Arabidopsis thaliana: one gene and its partners. The protein of the gene in region 2 interacts with the protein of the main gene of each other region in a pairwise test. Each region holds a gene or a part of one and is shown on either strand. Other genes may lie near its edges.

Region 1 (3,757 bases), on a different chromosome or scaffold from region 2:
CATCTGAATCAATGTCAACGAATTTCGGGCTACTTGCTCCACCACAACTTCTCTCAACTGTAAACCATTTGCAAGAATAAAGATGCATCAGAAATGTTATACATTGCCCACTCAAGCTTCAGTAAATGACCATTTATAAAATTCACCTGTCCCAAAGGGTCTTGGAGGCGATCTGGAGCTTGGCTTTGCGATAATGCTATAGGATGTTTCGTTTGTGCCTAAGCTTGTATCTGTAAAAACAGACAAGCTTGCTCCTGCTGAATTTGACACAACTTCTACCTTTGCATCTGTAACTTGTGAAGTAGCCGAAGAAGATGCCACCTTGGAAGAAGAAGAACTCTGTCGTCCCTTCTTTATCTGCTTGATATTCTCCACCTAAGTAAAAAGAAGAAGCAACAATTGTCAGCAAAAACATACTTCTTGTCATATAAACTTAGCAATTCTAAAATGCTGCATTGTGTAGTTAACAACCGCAACACTGAAGCAACTTGTGTAAGAATTCTCGCAGGTAACATTAGTGATATCCTTAAGAACAGCTCGCTTCTTAGGTGCATTGGCTTTCTTCTCATCCAAGGCTGTTCTTTTACTCTTTGCTCTAAGAACCCGTCCCTGGTTCTGTGTTGTAGCAGCCACTTCAGAAGATGTTATCAGCTTAGAAGAAGCACGCAGAGCAGAGGCAAGAGCACGAGTTACAGGGCGACCATGGATTGGTATAGAGTTTCCAGAAACAGCATTCTCCTTCCCCATGATTGAAACCCTTTGACACGATCCAACCCTTTTCTAACGTTTGGGACTTAGCACCACATTAACTCTCGATCTGTGAATTTGAAGTCAAGAGAAATCGAAGATCAATGGCATGAAGATTAAACAAAACAGAGAGATATATATTTATCTATGCAGAGTCCAATGCATATAAGATGTTTGGAGAAATTGTTTATTCTAAACGAGGATTGTTTATCTGATCATTCATGACTAGACAAATAATTGCAACACGTACTTGTTGTTTAAGTTCGTCGAATCAAGTTCCAAAGTTTCAAGTCAGATTCAAGTTGAAAGAACAAGTCTTTGTGAATTACAATTTACTTGTTGACAAAAACTTGAAAACTGTAATGCAGAAAACCCTCAACGCTCGAAAGAAAAAGTCTTAGCAATTTTAGCAAAGACGGGAGCGACTTGCGCAGAATTTGGAGATAATTAAATTTGAAGAAAAAATTAGTAAAGTTTCTAAATTTCTTTCATGGGTTTTTATATAAAAATGTTTATCCATAAGAAATAGGAACAAGAAAAGGAACGACTAGATCAAATTTCTTCTGAGGATAACGAAAAGACCCATGATTTAAAGCTGCAAGATCTCCCAAAAAAACCTATCGATCCGTTCGTTAAAAAAAAAAGTAATCAAAGTCACATTTTCTTTAATCCAAGAAAAATCCGAGTGACCCATGAACCAAAAAAGCTTCAAAACCAAGATAAAGTTTCAAGAAACCCTCCAGGAGAACCGCCTCAAAAAAAAGAACAGAGGGTCGGCATAAAAATAATATCATCACATTTCACAAGCAAAATAAAACAGAGAAGATGGAGATAGAGAGACTAAGATAGAAACTTACTACGCTCCAGAAATTTCTTCAAGAAGAAGAAGAAGAAAAAAAGTCTTTTTTTTTTTCTTTATTAATTTGGGGAAATGAGCTCTACGAACAGAAAAGATGGGAGCTTGGGCAGATCGAGAGAGTAAATGGGTTATAGTCAATTCGCTTTTATGCAAAGGGACTGTCTCTGAGAGTGAGCGGGATATAGAATGGTTTAAAGATATAAGTTTTATATTCTTTTCTTTTCTGTATATAAAAATAGAAACTTTATTTTTATTAGAGAAAGAAGTGTTTGTTTATGTGCTTATAACGCAACTCATTGACTGTTTGACCATAAAACAAGGGGATAAAGAAAGAGCTAACACTACAGTTTAGTTTGCTTGGGATTTTTTTTGATAAGTAATTTGTGGTTAATCTTTTCAATTTGGTACGTGATTGAACATAGATTTTTCTTTAGATTTTGGTAACTAATCATTTACCTTATTTTCACCCATTGCTAGTTTGGGTTCTGTGTCATTTCCATTTCTCCATTAACCTGTTGTATGTAATTAATGATGCAGATTTTGTTTTTCTTCTCTCTGTTCGAATGTTTTTTTTATATTTACTTTTTGTATTAAAGTAAAAGAACGATAGAGAGGAGGAATAGTTACGTTTTCCAAGAAATGTGTCATAATTTATTTACATAGATAGTAACAGCGCATTTTTTAAAGACAGTAACAGCGTGGCTATTCATCCAAAGGTAAATAAAAATGATTAAATTACAAAAAACTCTGTTCAAATTTTGAAGATTTGAAGAAAGATTCCACCATTTATTTTTTTAATGGTAAAGTTTTTAACTTTTGAATAGAAAAACTAACTAGTAGTAAAAAAAAAAAAAAAAAAAAGACCAAATGCACGTTTACCCCAGAATCACTCTTCTGATATTTATATTTACGTTTCTATGTGTCTTTTAATATTCCTTAATGCTTATTTGGACTCCACATGCATGTTAAGTAAGAATCCATCCATAAATTCTACACTATCCTTTCAAATTTTTAAACATTTTGTAGAAACTTAAAGAACCCGTTTCTATTTCTATAGGATTTGCTCCGTTTTAAAATCATACTTACGACGCTCCCGTGGTCTTTGTATACTATTGAGTAAAAAGATAACATGCATTATGTGATACTAACACTTTCTTTATTTCGTGTAAAACAAAACTTATGTCTAATTTTCTCATCGGTTACTTTGACCAAATCTACGTGAAATAAAACTTGGAGAGTTTTTTCTGCGATTAAACGTTATATACAACACTCTTTTTAAATAATACTAGGAGTTATGAAAACTGTATTAGATCTCATTGTACTTGACATAATCAGTTTAGAATTAAAAAAAACTTAATTTAAAACAAAAAGAAAATATGATAATAATTACTTTTGATGCTTAGATCCGCAGGATCCACTTAGAAAAAGAAAAGATACTTAGGACATGAACAAATAATTAAGTGGTGGAATCTGCCATTTCAGGTCTTGTTATGTTTAAGACCTTGGTAATCTTGTATGTTATACATTATTTCACATCTTACCTATAGCCGTTTTATCAAAATATAGCAGAAGTTATTTTATTTTTTTAATATTTTTTTGTTTGATATATTTTCTTATTCAGAATTATCTTTGTTTTCAAACTTAATTATTTATTTTTGCTGTTGTTTCGCGTTTGAAGCAATTCAATTACGAGTTTTAACAAAAACAAAAAGAAGAAGTTCGAAAAACTATCAGATTTGAAATGAAAATGACAAATCTTTTAAAGTTAAAGTTGAGTCTATTTTGTTCGGTAGTACGTGAAAGGGCAGTAAAGTCTACTGATTAAGTCAAAACTTTCATATGAAACTTTGATGTTAAGTGATATAATCGAAGAAAGCATCACAAACAAACAAAAGTATCCTTGGGATAATTATTTATATACAACGCACGAGTAATTCAAAAGCTACAGTGAGGAGCTATAACCAATAGTCTCACTTACCACATGGGAAGTTACATAATCAAAGCTCATGGATTTCAAATTTAGGATATATACAGTATGTTCTATTGTATATGTATTGGACTAATGCGTTAAAGCTGTTATAGTGTGAGAAGGACGTAACGAGAGGTCTTCGTGGACCTAATAATAATAACGTTTTACGGTTTTATCCAAAG
Region 2 (3,757 bases):
GCTTAAACATGTTCACACACATCCCTCTCAATCATCATCATTACATATAGCTTTGAATAAACATGAGAGATAGATAGAAAAACAAACACTTGAAAGAAACAGATGAGAAAATTTCACTAAGCATCTGAAGAAGATTAGTAGTACAAATGGTGTGAGGTTTTAAGGTCCCTAAGCTACTCTCAAACTTGTTCTCTAACCACATTATTACTTAAGATTACACGATTTCTGATGTTTGGTTAGTCTGTTAACTCCATCACATTCTCTAACTTCACACCATGTCTTTTGGAGCTGTTTCCTTTTGAACTTCATGGTTTGACTTGCACCCATTCGTAACGTCCGCTGAGGGGGATATCATTCACAATGTCGAAGTTGTACCTGAAGATTATTGAAAACACATGAGTGTTGTTCACCCTCTTCGTAATGACACAAAAATAAAATAAAGAATAAGCTTACTTCTCCATGAATAGCCTCTGTTGCTGCTGCTCTGCATATGCAAAGAACTCCTCCATTTCACTAGTGGTCGGGATCACGTTATCTTGTTCCCTTGTGTACTCTTTGGTTGCTCTGCACATCGACCTCGTGCTAGACCCTGGTGTAACCATGATCTCCATATCCTCAACAAAGTTACAAGGCGTGCTCTCCCTTGTGCTGCAGAAAAAAACACAGATAAAATAACTTCAATAACATTATCACCACAAAGACACTTAACCAAATCAAGAATCAAACCAAAACCAAACATCCAGAATAAAAAAGAGGCTTGGTTTAAGTAAACAACAAAAGCTAGAGACTTTCTAAGTAATATGGTCCCATAAGATAATAAATAACAAAGAGAAGGCAATCACCACATTGTCAACTAGCAGCAGGACGGTTACCCCAAAAAACAGAGGATCCTACAAAAGTATTCCCCAAGTATGCAAAAACCACTAGGTCCCATGAACATGACACCACAGTACTTGCATTACACTTATGAGGAAAGTCCCAATTCTCATATAATCTTACATATTAAAAGTTTCTGACCTTTATACAACAACCCACTTTTGTAAAAACGAAAACCATGTGTTTAAGTAAACCCCCAATAACCAAATCCCAATATTGTATACCCAATGTACAAATACTTCTTATGCCATTAGCCTAATAACAAGGAGAATCAACATGTTCTTAAACAAATTAAAATACACAAAAACAGATCAGAGTTTCACCAAATTTGTAACAAATAATGAAATACATATATAAAACGAAAATAGCTTTGACACATTCATTGATAATCTCTGCAATGAAGTACACATGGGACATACAGCAATAAATCAGATATAATGTAAATCTAACACCAAAAGAGACTTATACGGAGAAGTAGTAATAACAAAATTCAGTACATCACAAGAGAGTCAATTCATAAACAAAAACCAAACCAATAAGGGAAACATAAAAAACCTATTTTTCTCTTGTACTAAACTATTTTCATCCCCCAAAAAAAAAAAAATTGATTTGAAGCAAACAACAAAAGTTTCAGAGAAACCTAACTAAGATTCAAAACTATGTAAGACTCAAAACTAAGATTATTGGATAAGACAGAACACAAAAGTCGAATTGGTAATAAGAAAACATTAGGGCACAAAAAAAAAAAAAAAAAAACAACGAACCTGTGTCTTGATTCAAAACCGAGACTGTTTTCACCACAAGAAACTTGGACACTCACGAAATTGTCAAAACATTCATCTTCATTAGAGCTCTGAGCTACAGGAACCGAGTTAACCGAGTCAACGCGAGACCTGGAACCAGACTCTTTAATTCCCGATCTGTGAACTCTCGGCGGCTGTTTCGGTTCAATCAGCGAAGAGGGTTTCTCGAGACGGCGGCTACGGAGCTGAAGATAGCAAGAAGAGTCGTTAGGTAGAGCTGAATCAGCGGCGGAGGAATTAAGCCGCTTCAAGGCTAGGGTTTTAGCGGCTCTGGTTCGAACACCTGGACTTGGAGCTGTTGCTTTAGAGACTTCCATGACGCTGATATCGCCAGTTATCTTTGATTTCTTCATGTATTTCCCCATTTTTTGAGAGAGGGAAAAGAAGCTTGAAAGCGGAAAGAGAAAAATGAGAGGGAAAAGCTTTGAGGGAGGAGAAGAAGAGGGAAAGTGAGAAAATGGGAAAAAGGTTTTCGAGTTTTGTGGGGTTAAAATAAAACAAAGGAGAAGAAAAAAAAAGTTTACCTTTTTTATCTAATTGTCAAAAACAATATTATTATTATTATTATTTTTAAATAAAACCCCAAACTCATCATTATTATTTGTATTTTCCGTTGTGTTTTCACTTTTCATAGAATAATCGTCAGTTTTACATTTTTGATTTATTGATAATTTTTGTTGTCGAATAAATTTAAATTCATCATTTGACTAAATCTTTAACTTCTTAAAAATTAAACTGCTAATTAAATTCATCATTTGACTACGAATTTTCTATTAAATATAACGTGTATTGCATACGGCTTTTCTATTTTAAAATAAATTCTCATTAATATGATCGGTTTGTTGTTAAAAAAACAATTTTCATTTATTTAAATTTTATCAAATAATTTCATCATAAAAAGTATTGAATTTTTTTTATTGAAACCATATAAACTTAATAGTACATACTTTTAACATGTAACAACAAACAACTAGTTACATACATTCACATAGAATAAAAAATGTTTATACGAAAAATAAATTATTATTATGCACACGAATAAATATTCAACTTAAGTATTTAAACATAATATTTTTTCTTTGAAATTGACAGACTTTTTCCAAAAAATCGAGTCAACGGAAATTGCACCAAAAAATTGCTAAGTTTACAATTTTGGTATATAATGATTTTTATTTCTCAATTTAACAAAAATAAATCTAGGACTATTTTCCATAGTTAAATTACCCTTTGAACCAACGCGTATTACACACGGCTTTTTTTGTTGGATATACATGTTTCTTTTAAAATAATGATTTATTATTTATCATTTTTATCAAATATATTAATCATAAAAATTATTGAAATCATATAAAGTTAATAGCCCATACTTTTTCATTGTATATCAATAAATCAGTAGTTAAATACTTTCACATATAAGAGAAAATATTTATGTAAATTAGTAATTATTCTTACATTATGCACACTAATGAATATTAAACTTACATATTAAACATGATATTTTTAAAAATACATTGATAAGAATTGTTTCAAATTTCTAGTCAACTGACATTTCACAAAAAATCACCAATTTTTGTATATCATTATCTATATTTCTCGATTAAATAGAAAAAATCCGGGATTTTTTCTTTATAAAATTACCATGTGGACCCATAATTTATATATTTTCTATCTTTTAAAATCAATTAGTCAATCAATCATTATTACATACAAAAGTTTCACAATTTTAAGTTTTAACACGCATTGTACACGATAACATGGCTTCTACATCACATAAATATATGATCCGACAATAGTTTACAAAGAAGAAAATAAACAATTTCTTATTTACCTTAAAACATAAAATAATAAAAAATCAATATGATTTAATAAAACATGTTGATCGAAAATTCCATGGAGATTGTTGTAAAAACCCTAAAGAGACGTCTACATATACACATCAGCTACTAGTGATGATTGCTTCTTGTGATGAATTTTGATTCATTGGCATTTTATGTGGTATATGCAAAGAAAGGTATGATTTCAGTAATAAATTTTTGATCTAGGGACAATTTTCAATATTAATCCTCATTTGTTTGCTA
Region 3 (3,757 bases), on a different chromosome or scaffold from region 2:
AATCAGATATTAGAATGTTCTTGTTGCAATATATCACAAGTTTAAAGTTACATCATTGAATTGTTGAATTTACCTTGTGTTGCTTGTACTTATTTCTAACAGCTTCTAGAGTGTTTCCTCTTCTGCTTAGATACAAGTCATGTATGATACCCACGCACACTTGTAGATCAGCTGCTTTGTACTTTGTGTATTCTTCTAGCATTTGATTCTGTTTGCATCACCAGAAGAGGATTTAGAATATAAAGAACTTTTTCTGTATAAGAACCTGTCATGGTTCTTAATTTGCTTACCCAAGGATGTTGTTTTGGACGGATGATGAACCGGGCAAGAAATACAGCTGAAGCAGACAAAAGAGATGGCAAATACTTCACACAGGTGTAATCTAACATACTCAATTCTGATAGATAGCAACAAAGGAACTCTATCTGCAATTGTGAGTCCTGCAAAGGCATGAAAAAAAAGAAGATTTAACAATAGAAATTATGAGATGCAAATGCCACAGTTTACAGGTACATCGATTTTGAGCTTACTTTGAAATCTTCTTGTGCAACCCGTGTAAACCGTCTGCACAAACACGACATAAAAAAGAGAATAACAATCAAAACAAGGGCAAGTAAAACCATGAAATCATAAGTTTAAACACCAGACTGTTTCAGAGTCGAACCTTAGGAATGTTTTGATGGTTGGGCTTCCTAATTCAAACTGCAGAGCAAGAAGTATATCCGCCTCCATCGACACCACTTCTTGTTTAGTAAATGTATTATCCGTAATGTAACAAAAATCTTCAACTTTAGGAGGACCTATCTCTTCATATTTCCTACTTTTTTAAAAGCAAAAATAAAGATTCCATAAGCCAACCATCTAAGACTCTTCACACCAACACAACAATAAACAAAGAGGATTAAGATGCTTACGACGCAATAAGCATTGCAGAAACTCCCACAAGCTGAAGCTTCTGCCTGTTAATAGGCTTCACAGACAAGAATCTATCAACATAGGAGATAGTGAGATAAAGCGTATCCGAAACAAGCTTGTACTCCTCAGCAACCTCCACTAACCAATCCACCAAAACCGCTCTCATGTGTGGAGTTAAATCACTCTGAACCTTTTCAATATAATCAGGTAGTGGTCTATGTTTCGGCTTCCCCTGAAAATTTTACCAATCCAAAAACAATAACCATTAGTCCCAAAGTATCAATCATCTCTAATTTCTCCAAACATATCATATAACCATAAGAGCAAGCTGTGATTGGACAAAATCTCAGAAACTTATCAAATCCACAACTTTAACCAAACCCATTAATCAATATCAAGTCCAACACTGTACCAATTCCAAAATAACATAAACTGATACCATAAGATCACTAAGATCAAAAATGATGGAATCAAGAAATCTACTAAAGATGATTTTTTTTTTACCTCCATTTCACGGAGATAAGCACAAATATCACTAGCAAAAGGCTCACACATCTGAGGATCAACAGATCTCGATTCGATTAGTACGCTAGCTTCAGGAATCATCAAAGCCTTCTTCATCTGCCTCTTCGAGGTATTAACACTTGTTTTAGCCTTAAGGGTCTCTCTTTCTTGATTGGGTACAGCAACGACATTGGACATATTCGGAAGCTCTCCGAGAACAACTCTCTTCTTACTAACTGGGTTTTCGTCTAACGCCATGGACGACGCTTTTCGTTTCGCCGCCGCTCTCGTCATCCTCGCACAGTTCTGATTCTCCGCCATGGGGTTATTTCAGTGGGAAAGTGAGATTTGAGAAAAGGGGTAATGTACAAGGTAGGTAAAAGGAAATGGGTTGAGTAAAAGCGCCATTTTTGTTGGGGAAGTTTTGAGATTTTTAGGTCATGGCGCTTCTCTGTGTAAATTTTCCGATTTCGAAATTTTTAGGGATTTGACTTTTGAGTATCCAAAATTTGGGGCTTTTTTGCAGATTTCATTTCCACATTTATTTGGCGGCTGTTTTCTCCTTTTTACCCTTCAAAAAGTTTCACTCCTATATTTAGACAATCATTATTGTTTTATTCACTTAATTAAAGATGAAAATAACAATCAATGAATGCTTTTAATTAAGGAAATTATTAGTAGTTGATTTGTTTTTTTTTCGGTTTTGGTTAAGATTCGGAATTAAGTGAGATGCTTTTAAAAAATTTAAAAAAAAATCGGTTTTGCATTTGTTTTTTTTTTATACTTTTTTTGGGTTTAGTTTTACATTTTTGATTTTTTTTTGGATACAGAAAAATAAATCCACTAAACCATATGAAAATATTTTGTCTAAACAATAATAAAAAAAAATCATTGAACTAGGAATTCATTTAACACCATTTCCTATATAATTTTTTCGACAAATTCAGCTATTAATTTAACAAAAATAATTGACACCAACGGACACTTATCTTATATTAGAGTTGTCAAAATGGGTGTGCGGCCCGTGGGCTGCCTGCGTCCAATACTTAATGGACCGAGTCATGGATAAAGCCATTATAAAACGGGCTTTAATGGTTATAGTCGTTAACGGATATGAACTTTAGCAGAGTAGATATGATGGACATGGGCGGCCCAATAGTCTTATAATGTTAGGTTAAATCGATTTGAGGAAAAATCGAATATTAAAATGGACATTATTGGATTGGACAAAGGTGTTAATGGATACGGACTATGTTCGTCCAATATCAAAATAGACATTATTGGATTGGGCTAATGGACATGGACACCCCGATTTGACAACTCTATCTTATATGATCCGCCTATCTGTTATTATCTAATAAACGTATGTTGGAAATGACCAGACCAATTCTACCAAATAATCTTTCCAATAAGGGTTCACTTGTAGAAATTGCCTTTTTATTGACTTAAATGAACAATTTCTGTTTTGTTTTGTTTTTGTCAAGGATCATAGCAAGTCTAAAGGCTTATCTTGTCATGTCTTCCCATTCATCTGGTTTCGATACCATTTGAAGTAAATTATTGACTACTAAAGTTTTGGCCTTCTAGGAACTTATAAATTTTGTCATAGGAGGCTCAATGATTAAACAAATAAAATCATGTCACATAAAATACTTCTTATCATATTGCATAATCGTATAAATTTCCAGAGTAACACATTAATTTGTCACCACAATGTTAATCAAGTAATAACACAATACATCTTCACAACACAAATTATTTGCTCCTGCTTCACTTCGATACATATAACATATGACTCCTCTAGCTTCAACTGTTGATCAGTGTCCCTTAGTAATCGAGCTCAGTAACAATTGGGAAATGAAAGATTGGTTCTGATCAAATGGTAACAACATCCTCCCAAAAGGTAACCGGAAGCTCTTGGTAGACAGGAATTGCCGCAACGTATTGGAACTGTACCATAAAAAGCAACATTTAAGTATAAATGATACTACTAATTAAATCAAATGATTTCATAATTTGTAATATGTCAATTACCTTATGTTGCTTGTATTTCTCTCTAACAGCTTTTGAAGCACCTTCACTTCTGCTCAGGTACAAGTCAAGCATGATCTCCACACACACTTGTAGATCAGCCGCTTTGTACTTTGTGCATTCTTCCAACATTTGACTCTGTTTTACATTACAAGCCATAGATTATTAGTGTCTCATTCAAAAGATTAACTCAACATATAAACCTGAAAAAGAGAGATTGAGACAAAAGTTCTTACCCAAGGATGTTGGTTAGGAAGGATGATGAATCGAGCGAGAAAGACAGCAGAAGCAGCCAACAAAGATGGAA

Evidence for each region.
Region 1: the proteins of ICK6 (region 2) and CYCA2;4 interact in a two-hybrid assay, tested with the Arabidopsis thaliana proteins (one large-scale study listed by BioGRID).
Region 3: the proteins of ICK6 (region 2) and CYCA3;4 interact in a protein complementation assay, tested with the Arabidopsis thaliana proteins (one large-scale study listed by BioGRID).

Annotation. Positions count from the first base shown.
Region 1 is NC_003070.9:30,211,684-30,215,440, reverse strand, and holds the start of CYCA2;4 (Cyclin A2;4), read right to left. Parts: upstream 1,737-3,757; 5' UTR 1,605-1,736; intron 818-1,604; 5' UTR 748-817; coding exon 472-747; intron 376-471; coding exon 147-375; intron 58-146; coding exon 1-57.
Region 2 is NC_003076.8:19,792,303-19,796,059, forward strand, and holds the start of ICK6 (inhibitor/interactor with cyclin-dependent kinase), read right to left. Parts: upstream 2,107-3,757; 5' UTR 2,045-2,106; coding exon 1,614-2,044; intron 1,432-1,613; coding exon 1,405-1,431; intron 649-1,404; coding exon 454-648; intron 376-453; coding exon 306-375; 3' UTR 1-305. UniProt on the Arabidopsis thaliana protein: Binds and inhibits CYCD2-1/CDKA-1 complex kinase activity. May target specifically CDKA-1.
Region 3 is NC_003070.9:17,304,735-17,308,491, reverse strand, and holds the start of CYCA3;4 (CYCLIN A3;4), read right to left. Parts: upstream 1,916-3,757; 5' UTR 1,741-1,915; coding exon 1,420-1,740; intron 1,148-1,419; coding exon 915-1,147; intron 821-914; coding exon 665-820; intron 565-664; coding exon 531-564; intron 441-530; coding exon 291-440; intron 209-290; coding exon 74-208; intron 1-73. Other genes in the region: CYCA3;3 (Cyclin A3;3), read right to left, coding at 3,295-3,369, 3,454-3,588, 3,687-3,757.